2 linked regions of the Saccharomyces cerevisiae S288C genome follow. The gene in region 2 interacts genetically with the main gene of each other region. Each region holds a gene or a part of one and is shown on either strand. Other genes may lie near its edges.

Region 1 (3,184 bases), on a different chromosome or scaffold from region 2:
GACACTCCATGCGTATTGACCAAGGAAGATTATAGAACTTTAGGTGCAATGACTGAAGGTTATTCCGGGAGTGATATTGCTGTAGTGGTGAAAGATGCGCTAATGCAACCGATAAGAAAAATTCAAAGCGCGACACATTTCAAAGATGTCTCTACGGAGGACGACGAAACAAGAAAACTAACACCATGCTCTCCAGGTGATGATGGCGCCATCGAGATGAGTTGGACGGATATTGAAGCTGATGAATTAAAAGAACCAGATCTCACCATAAAGGATTTCTTAAAGGCTATCAAATCGACGAGACCTACCGTGAATGAGGATGACTTGCTGAAGCAAGAACAGTTCACTAGAGATTTTGGTCAAGAAGGTAACTAGTCAATTGATTAACGTGCTAATGTAGATTTCTTGTGTACATGAAAATAAAAAATAAAAAAAAAAAAAAAACAGAATAATTAAATACAGAATCGTATGCAAAATAGATAAAGAAAAGCAGAGGACAGTTAACTCTTCCCTTTACTTAGAAACATTGTTCTGTTCTCATTATTGGATACCCTAGCATTATCAATTCTAACTTTAACAACGGCGGTGTTCTTTTCAAATATAAAAGCTTTCGCATCAGGATTAGCCTTTAGTATTAAATCTTTATAGTACTTGGATTCTTCACTTTCAGGATTGACAATTTCGGTTTCGCCACCAATAGATGCGCTCATTTGGTTCAATTCGGCTTGATTTAACTCCTGTAACAAATTTAAAAGCTCGCTTTGACGTTGCTCTTCATGAGGAATAGAAGTCGGCGTCGGAGTCCCAGAGATGCTTTCCTTGCCCACTGACAAATTATTCGCGATGATCCAATCGTGAAACAACAGGGCGACCTTAGGGTTCTCCTTGATGTTGTAAAACTTTTGTGTGTCCTGAGGAGAAACAAATATAATGTAGTCATTCTTATTATCTGTTTGACCGAACAGTTTTTCACCTGGCACATAGATATAGTTCATCAATGCCACTGAAGGGATGCAGTCTTTAGAACAGGTGGCCACGTGAACATATTTGGAGTTTTTGATCAGGTTCAGTAGATGCGCTGGTAATGTACTAGTCCAAGCCATAATTGAGATGTTTCAGGGTTTGAATAGCCTGTAATTTTACTGCTATTTTCTAATAAGGGAGGAAAAGTGTAGCAAAAAGATCGATGATTTATATTCCTTCAGGTTCATAAGGGGAGCAAATGTCAAAGCGCAAACGTGGGAAGTGACGATAATACATGTATCCCATTAAATTATCATATTATTGTTACATCATATGTACGTACATACATGTGTAAAATACGGAGGTCTACTCTGTAGTTACACGCGTGTTGGAAGTTTTCTTCTGGGACCACGAGTCCTATTTTTATTCGGGTGAACTAATGGTTTAGTTTCCTTCACTGTTTCATCTCTAGAAGTAGTATACTTGTCAGAAGTTGCAATATTAGTGTTAACACCGCTAAGTTCTGGTAGAGTATTAGATGCTCTTAAGTTTCTAGAGGCAATTATTGCGTCTAATTTTGCGTTTATGCTCAGTTCGTTTGAGGACTCTAAAACAGGCTCGGTTTTAGATTTTTTCATCAATTCGACTTTTCGCAATGCCTCTGGCAAAGAAATTTTACGTTGTGGCGCCGTTGGTGGCCGTTTCTTCAGGTTATTCCGCAATGATAGAGCTTCAATTTCGTCATTTAACTTGTTAATATCATCACCATTTTTGAGTGTAGTATTTTTCGAATTATTTGTTAGAAATGATTTTTTCTGAGGGATTGCAGGCTTCTGCTGTTTGGTTTTCTTCAGATTTTGTATACCTTTTATTGCTTCTGGAATACTGTCCTCCTCTTCTTTTTTAATGTTACGGTTGCTGGATCGTAACTTGGGCAAATCGATTGAGTTTTCGAAGTTCTGCTTTGTTGGAGAAGTTTCTACGGGACGTAGCTCAGGTAATACTATATTCAACTCCACTTTCTTTGGCGGTATGCTTGGTTTGGTCTTATGGGCGGCCAAATTTGCATTCCGTAGCTTTTGAGGTTTTTCAGGCAAAGAAGGCTTGGAAGTTGTCGTGAGATTCGAGTTTAGCATAGACTTGATAAAACTTTCAGATCTTGGAATTCTTTTCGCAGGTGGAGAAGGAGGGGTTGGTTTAGGTTTATTTTTCATTGTAGGAGATAAGGTGGTTGGTTTTAGTTGTATGGAATCCAAGTAATCGATATGAGAACTTTTTACAGTTGTTTTGGGAGTTTCCATTTCCGAATTATAACTCTTCGCCTTTGTCAATTTGTTATCTTCCAAAGAACTTAAAAAGCTCGCCGGTTTTGTAGAGCGTGAGACAGGTGGAGCAGGCTTAACGCGCTCAGGTACCACAGCATCCGGTTTTATTGACCTTGATGACGGACTTTCTGTAACTTCTGCTTTGTTAGGCCTTGTTGGAAGAAGCGGTTTCTCTTCATTCCCATCTGTGATTTTGATATGATCACGCCTTGTGGGCAAAGGCGGTGGTGATGAAGAAGAGGAGGAGGAGGGTATATCGGCTCTTCCTGGTAATTCAAAATCATATTGGATGGTGATTATTTCCTTCTCTCTCGGTCTGGGTCGACCCCGACTGGGCATACGAGGACCTTTTTCAAAGGAAGGCAAATTTTTGTCAGCATTGGAATCATTATATGTTTGAGAGGCTTTCAATTTCTGCAATAATAAATAATCTTCTTCAGAAATTAAAAATTTTTTTTCTTTTTGAGAGGCACTTCCCTCCAAATCCGGCCTTGGCGTTATTCGTTCGAGATTCAGCTCACTTAATGAGTAATGAGTCTTCTTTGGAGAAAACGTCATTTCATAATTGTACGCAGATCGGTAGGCCAAATTGTCGCAACCTTCCACATTTTTCCCTGTCATCATATCAGCCCTTCTGTATTCCCCAGAGTTGTGACTTCTAACTGGTGAAAGCGCTTCCCCCGCTGGTTTTGAACTAGGAATATTACTGTATCTCTTAGAGTTCAAATCCTCCACTTTCGATAGAAAGTTCACCAATTCAGGGTCACGCTCATATTTTGTCATACTTCCGAAACTTCGAAAAGCTAGGAAAAGCTGGTTACTGTGACTTTTATTGATTAGAATTCATATATAAATGTATATATTTATACTATATATTCTTTCATAATATTTCACTC
Region 2 (7,107 bases):
GGAGTGGTGATGGCTACGCTACCTTAAAAGCCAGTAGCGATAAGTTATGCTTTTATAACGAAGCAGGGAAATTTCTTGGGTCAAGTATGCTACCAAGTGATTCAGATTCTCTCTTCGAAACTCTTTTCAAAGCAGGCTCCAATGAAGTACAATTGGATTACGAATTGAAGGAAAATGCAGAAATACGTAGCGCCAAAGAAGCCTTATCACAAAACATGGGAAATCCCAGCCCACCGACCACAAGCACAACAGAAACAGTGCCTTCTACGAAGAATGACGGTGGCAAATACCAAATGCCTCTGTCTCAGCTGTTTTCACTAAACACTGTGAAAAGATTCAAATCAGTAACAAAGCAAACAAATGAACACATGACCACAGTACCTAAAACCAGTCAAAATTCCAAAGCCAAAAAATATTATCCAGTATTTGATGTCAACAAAATCGATAATCCTATAGTAATGAACAAAAATGCAGCCGCTGAAGTTGACGTAATTGTTGATCCATTACTGGGCAAATTCTTGCGCCCTCATCAGAGGGAAGGGGTGAAGTTCATGTATGATTGCTTAATGGGCTTGGCAAGACCAACTATTGAAAATCCGGATATCGATTGTACTACTAAAAGTTTAGTGTTAGAAAATGACTCAGATATTAGTGGATGCCTTTTGGCTGATGATATGGGTTTAGGTAAAACACTAATGAGTATAACTTTGATTTGGACATTAATTAGGCAAACTCCTTTTGCATCAAAAGTTTCATGTTCGCAATCAGGCATACCATTAACTGGACTTTGTAAGAAGATTTTAGTCGTTTGTCCCGTTACTTTAATAGGAAATTGGAAAAGAGAATTTGGAAAATGGTTAAATTTGTCAAGAATAGGTGTTTTGACATTAAGCTCAAGGAATTCTCCTGATATGGATAAAATGGCTGTCAGAAATTTTTTAAAAGTGCAACGAACTTATCAAGTCTTGATTATTGGCTACGAAAAACTCTTGAGTGTTTCTGAAGAATTAGAGAAAAATAAACATTTGATTGACATGCTGGTGTGTGACGAAGGCCATCGACTAAAAAACGGGGCTTCTAAAATTTTAAATACGCTGAAGAGTTTAGACATAAGAAGGAAGCTTTTGCTTACGGGAACTCCTATACAAAATGATCTTAATGAGTTTTTCACTATTATAGATTTCATAAACCCAGGAATCCTTGGAAGCTTCGCTTCTTTCAAAAGAAGATTCATTATCCCTATAACTAGAGCCAGAGACACTGCAAACAGATACAACGAAGAATTGTTGGAAAAGGGGGAAGAAAGGTCAAAAGAGATGATAGAAATTACGAAAAGATTTATTTTGAGACGAACAAATGCGATTTTAGAAAAGTACCTTCCTCCAAAGACGGATATAATTTTATTCTGTAAACCATACAGCCAACAGATATTGGCATTCAAAGATATTTTGCAGGGCGCACGTTTAGATTTTGGACAATTGACGTTCAGTTCTTCGCTAGGACTAATAACATTACTGAAAAAGGTTTGTAACTCTCCTGGATTGGTTGGCTCAGATCCCTATTACAAATCACATATAAAGGATACCCAATCTCAGGACAGCTATAGTCGTTCTTTGAACTCTGGTAAGTTAAAGGTATTAATGACATTACTAGAAGGTATTAGGAAGGGTACCAAGGAGAAGGTCGTCGTAGTGTCTAACTACACTCAAACATTGGATATAATTGAAAATTTGATGAATATGGCTGGGATGTCACATTGCAGACTCGACGGTTCCATACCTGCTAAACAAAGGGACTCTATCGTCACATCTTTCAATCGGAATCCAGCCATATTTGGATTCTTGTTGAGTGCAAAATCGGGAGGTGTAGGATTGAATCTAGTCGGTGCTTCGCGACTTATTTTATTTGATAATGATTGGAATCCTTCAGTAGATTTGCAAGCGATGTCACGAATTCATAGAGATGGTCAAAAAAAGCCGTGCTTCATATATAGACTTGTCACAACTGGGTGTATCGATGAGAAAATATTGCAAAGGCAATTAATGAAGAACAGTTTGAGCCAAAAATTTCTAGGTGACTCGGAGATGAGAAATAAAGAATCTTCTAATGATGATCTTTTCAATAAAGAGGACTTGAAGGACCTGTTTTCTGTCCATACAGATACCAAGAGTAACACACATGACTTAATTTGTTCTTGCGATGGTTTAGGTGAGGAAATTGAATATCCTGAAACAAATCAACAGCAGAACACCGTAGAGCTGAGAAAGCGTAGCACTACGACATGGACAAGTGCGCTGGATTTACAAAAGAAAATGAATGAAGCAGCCACCAACGATGATGCCAAAAAGTCACAATACATTAGGCAATGTCTCGTTCATTATAAGCATATCGATCCAGCAAGACAAGATGAATTATTTGATGAGGTTATCACAGATTCGTTCACCGAATTGAAAGATAGTATTACCTTTGCGTTTGTAAAGCCCGGCGAGATATGTCTCAGAGAACAATGACGCCAAATATGGACACTTATATACTAAATAAAATAGCTATTATTTAATCACTGATTGTATTTAATAGGTTTATTCTTGCACGACTCATTCAGGTTCAAGTCACATATTAAGTAGGGCCTATTGCTGATTCAAGTTGATATCCACGTTTTCACTAATTTGATAACGATACGCTGCGGGCGCAAATCAAACATCTGAAAGATTTGAATAGCCTTTAGTCCCAAAAAAAAAAAAAAAAAAATAATGTGAAAAATTATCTACAAGGAAATAAATTGATAGGTAAAGTTAAAGAATCACGGCATGAAATTAAAAAGTGTATTCAGATCAGTTCTAAAGTACCGGAAAACAAATTTGAGTTTGCTTCTATTAATCACCTATTCGATTATTACGTTACTCTATATCTTTGATCATGAACGTTATAAACTCAATCTACCAAAAGAGGATGAGCACCCTGAATTCAATGACTTATTAGAAACAGCATGGGGGGACTTACAGATTATCACGGCCTCTTTTCATCCGTACACGTCCAAAGAAAATGATAAAGTACATGATTACTTGCTCAAAAGGGTTCTTGAAATTACAGGGAATTCTTCGTTTGCAAGTGTTTCAGATGACAAAGAAAGCGAGAGATCCATATTATTTCAGCAACAAGATCCTTTCAATGAGTCATCTAGGTTTTCGAGAGTGACATATTTTGAATCTTCTAATATATTAGTTAAGCTTGAGGGTAAAAATCCTGAGGAAGAAGGGTTACTTCTTTCAGCTCATTTCGACTCTGTACCCACAGGATATGGAGCTACCGATGACGGCATGGGTGTAGTGTCTTTACTAGCGAACCTCAAGTACCATATAAAGCACAGACCGAACAGGACTTTAATTTTCAACTTTAATAATAATGAAGAGTTTGGCCTACTAGGTGCATCAACTTATTTTGATCACTCATGGTCTAATTTAACCAAGTATGTGATAAATTTAGAGGGAACTGGTGCTGGTGGTAAAGCTGTACTGTTCCGAACTTCAGATACTTCAACAGCAAGAATATACCAACAGTCTGTTAAGGAAAATCCATTTGGTAACTCTATCTACCAGCAAGGTTTTTATAGCAGATATGTCAGGAGTGAGACAGACTACAAGATTTACGAAGAAAATGGCATGAGAGGCTGGGATGTCGCATTCTACAAACCGAGAAACCTTTATCATACCATAAAGGATTCAATACAATATACCTCCAAGGCATCTTTATGGCATATGCTACATACTTCCTTACAATTAAGTGCATATGTGGCTTCTAATTCATTGGATACAGCTGACCAAACGCCGGCTTGTTATTTTGATTTTATCGGTTTGAAGTTTTTCGTTATAAGCGCTAAAACGCTTTTCTATTGGAACTGCATATTTCTATTAGTTTCACCCGTTGTGGCCATTGGCTTGTATTTAATTTCTCGTGATAGAATGACTTGGAAATCTTATTCATGGCTATCGTGGACACGCTTTCCTCTTTCATTAGCCGCTGGTATTATTGTCCAAAAGCTTTTCTCTAACGACATAATTCGTTCCAATCCTTTGACGTTCTCAAGGAACTACTTTTGGCCTATCTCGGCTTTTTTCACTCAAGTAATTTTTACCAGTTATGTTCTGATTAATTGCTCCAATTTTTTTTTCCCCTGTGCCGATATGAAAAGCCTATCAATTATCGAATTGTTCATTATTTTATGGACCATTTTACTTTTTACGTCGAAGTTATTGTATAGTTCCGACTATAGGTATACCGGGCTTTATCCTCTCTCGATTTTCTTTCTTCTGAGCACAATAGCTGCTATATTGAGACTACTTGCACTAGCGTTGGGAATGAGAACAAGGAAGAGGCTTGGTAGAGAATGTAGGGACCATCACTCCAATTACAGCTCCCATTCTCAAATAGATATGGAACGAGACGGTCAGGAAAACTTGGAACAACCCCAAGATCAACTTACATCGTCACAAGACGATCAAGCAAGTATCCAAGATGATAATGTGTCAACTACTTCAGCTGGCCCATCACATAATGTTGACGAGGATCATGGTATGGATTCATCGTCACAACAACATGATGAAAGGGTACCATTACTGAAGGGGTCTAATAGCATGGAGGAAGGATTGAGTACTAGAGAAAATTCTCTAAAACTTGAGTATACCGATTATGCCTGGATCATTCAATTTTTGCTAATTGTACCAATACCATCATTTATTTTGTTTAACAGTGTGGATGTTATCATGGACGCACTAAACCATACTGTCCAGGAAGGAAGTAAGGCTACATTTGATGTACTCAGGTTCGGAATGGTGGGCAGTATTTTGATCGCGCTACCAATTTTACCTTTTTTCTATAAGGTCAACTATATCACAATTTCTTTAACTGCACTGCTTTTCTTGATTTCCGCATCCAAAACGCTCCTAGTGCACCCCTTTACCAATAGTAACCCATTAAAAGTAAGGTTTTCTCAAAATATTGATTTGTCTCAAGGGAACGCTGCCAGTGTACATGTCCTTGGAAGAGAAGGAAATTTTTTAAAACCTATGCTGCAAGATTTACCAAGTATAAAATATAGCTCTACACATATTAACTGTACTTCCGTAACCAATGGAATGGAACTTTGTATGTATGATGGAATGCAACCTAATTTATTGAGCACGAATGGAAATACGAACATCAGCAGTATGGTCAAGGTTCATGTTTTACATAATAACCGAAACTCAACAGAGAGATCTCCTTACGAACCAATAGTTGCAGAGTTACTTTTGGAGGTGAAGGAGAACAGGGCTTGCACTTTAACTTTTGAAAGTAGACATCAGGCGAAGTCACCTGTCAGAGAAATCACGGTATATCAAAAGAAAAATTCGGCCCCACAGAAAGCTAATATCACGAAGACGATCAAGTCTGCTTCTGGCATAAACGAACTGCAATTGCATAAACTTGATTTCGATCAGGAAACTTACCATATCGGAGTCCAGTGGTTTCCAAAACTTTTGACGGATGGAAATGTAGAGGATGACAAGTTGGGGACAAAAGACGAACTGTCTGTTTCTATTAGCTGTTATTGGGGAGAATATGATTCGGAATCGGTTGTAAATGGTACCGCTGTTAGGAAAATTCCAGCATTTGATGAATTGATAAATTACGCACCTCTAAGTTTTTCCTTTACCAACGAACAGAAAGGATTAGTTATTGTCAAGGATGCTATAATTTTATAATTCTAATTAGTTTTAAATGTAAATTTTTATAAACTCAAATTCGCCTACTGGGGGAGTTGTCCAAAGGCTTCGCTTCTTCCCACAAGAAGAACAAAATAATAAAAAATATTTTGAGAAATTTTTCGTAACAAAAGGAAAAACTATTGAGTTTAACTTATGAATGTACTTTACTGGCCAAGAATCCGTCTGGAACCATTCTACGGTGCTCTCTTCGTAGCGCTAAAGACAGCTATAGTGGATATTCAGACGGTATTGAAAATCACTAATGATATCAGTTAACAAAGTAAGAAACATGTTTCGTCAGATAAGTTCTACACTGCTGCAAGTGCATACAATGCTCGTTTTTATAAAGTCCTAAATTATATAACCCTCCAGTAACTATTAGAAAATAGCACGCAATAATGCTAGCGATATACAAATAACCTGTAAATCTATATATTTATTAAGTATAAAGATAATGGTCTTGGAAATGGTTCTTCAGGGATTGTGATTGACTATAGCCGGATATCGTTTGGATCAAGAGCTTGGTTAAGCGGATATTTAAGTTATTTTAATATATCGCTTTGTCCAAAAGCAAGTTTTGGAGGTGGGATCTCAATTTACACGATACAGTATTAACCAAATCTTGATAGCAAAAAAATGCAAAATATCGTATAAGTGAAGGCAAAGCATTGTCCAATGTAAGGTTCTGTGCCGCCCTTCCCTTTTTTGAAAGCTGCTAGATATCATTGTTACCCTTTTTAATTTCTACGCTATTCTCGGACGTCATAATTTTATAGTTACTGACACTAAAAAAAGGGTCGTACGTCTTACTGGCAGCGCCGAAAAATGTTTCGAAAATACACCTTAACACATTGAAGTAGTGATGATTTCATAAAAAACCACAAGAATTTGTTCGCTAATACATTAATTCGGTACTAGACTTTATTGACTCGTATATTTCTAACGAATAAATCACCCACTCTTGCTATCCTAACAGTATTTAATATTAGCTATTTAAAAGCCTTAAGATGGACTATGGCTACTTTTTTCCCGCACAACGTATTGAAGAAACAAATGGTGTGGATTTTTGGATAGACAGTAATGCTGAATTTACACAGTCTAAAAGACCTGACTCTTCAACATCCACTCTTTCGAGGGTTTTAACGGACACCACGAATGTATCCAATAATAGTGGATCACTCAAAAGAAAAACCATCAAGAACAAAATATTCCCACAAAGGAAAATATTCAACGATAGCGAAAATTTTGACTTTGGTAAAGCCAACACTGATTGTAAGCATGTGTTTAAAAGTATTTCTAAGCAACTGATTTTTCTTCCAAGGTGTTTCCAACATCACAGTATCCGAGGCTGGATGAAAGACAGATA

What was found. Genes that interact genetically often act in the same process or in processes that back each other up.
Region 1: mutations in PFF1 (region 2) and YPR172W together harm fitness more than expected from each alone (negative genetic interaction), as found in Saccharomyces cerevisiae (one large-scale study listed by BioGRID).

Annotation. Positions count from the first base shown.
Region 1 is NC_001148.4:883,715-886,898, reverse strand, and holds YPR172W (pyridoxal 5'-phosphate synthase), read right to left. Parts: upstream 1,104-3,184; coding exon 501-1,103; downstream 1-500. Other genes in the region: AAA family ATPase VPS4, read left to right, coding at 1-375; BSP1 (Bsp1p), read right to left, coding at 1,341-3,071.
Region 2 is NC_001134.8:383,479-390,585, forward strand, and holds PFF1 (Pff1p), read left to right. Parts: upstream 1-2,807; coding exon 2,808-5,738; downstream 5,739-7,107. Other genes in the region: DNA-dependent ATPase RDH54, read left to right, coding at 1-2,510; ECM8 (Ecm8p), read left to right, coding at 6,749-7,107. UniProt on the Saccharomyces cerevisiae protein: May be involved in vacuolar sorting and osmoregulation.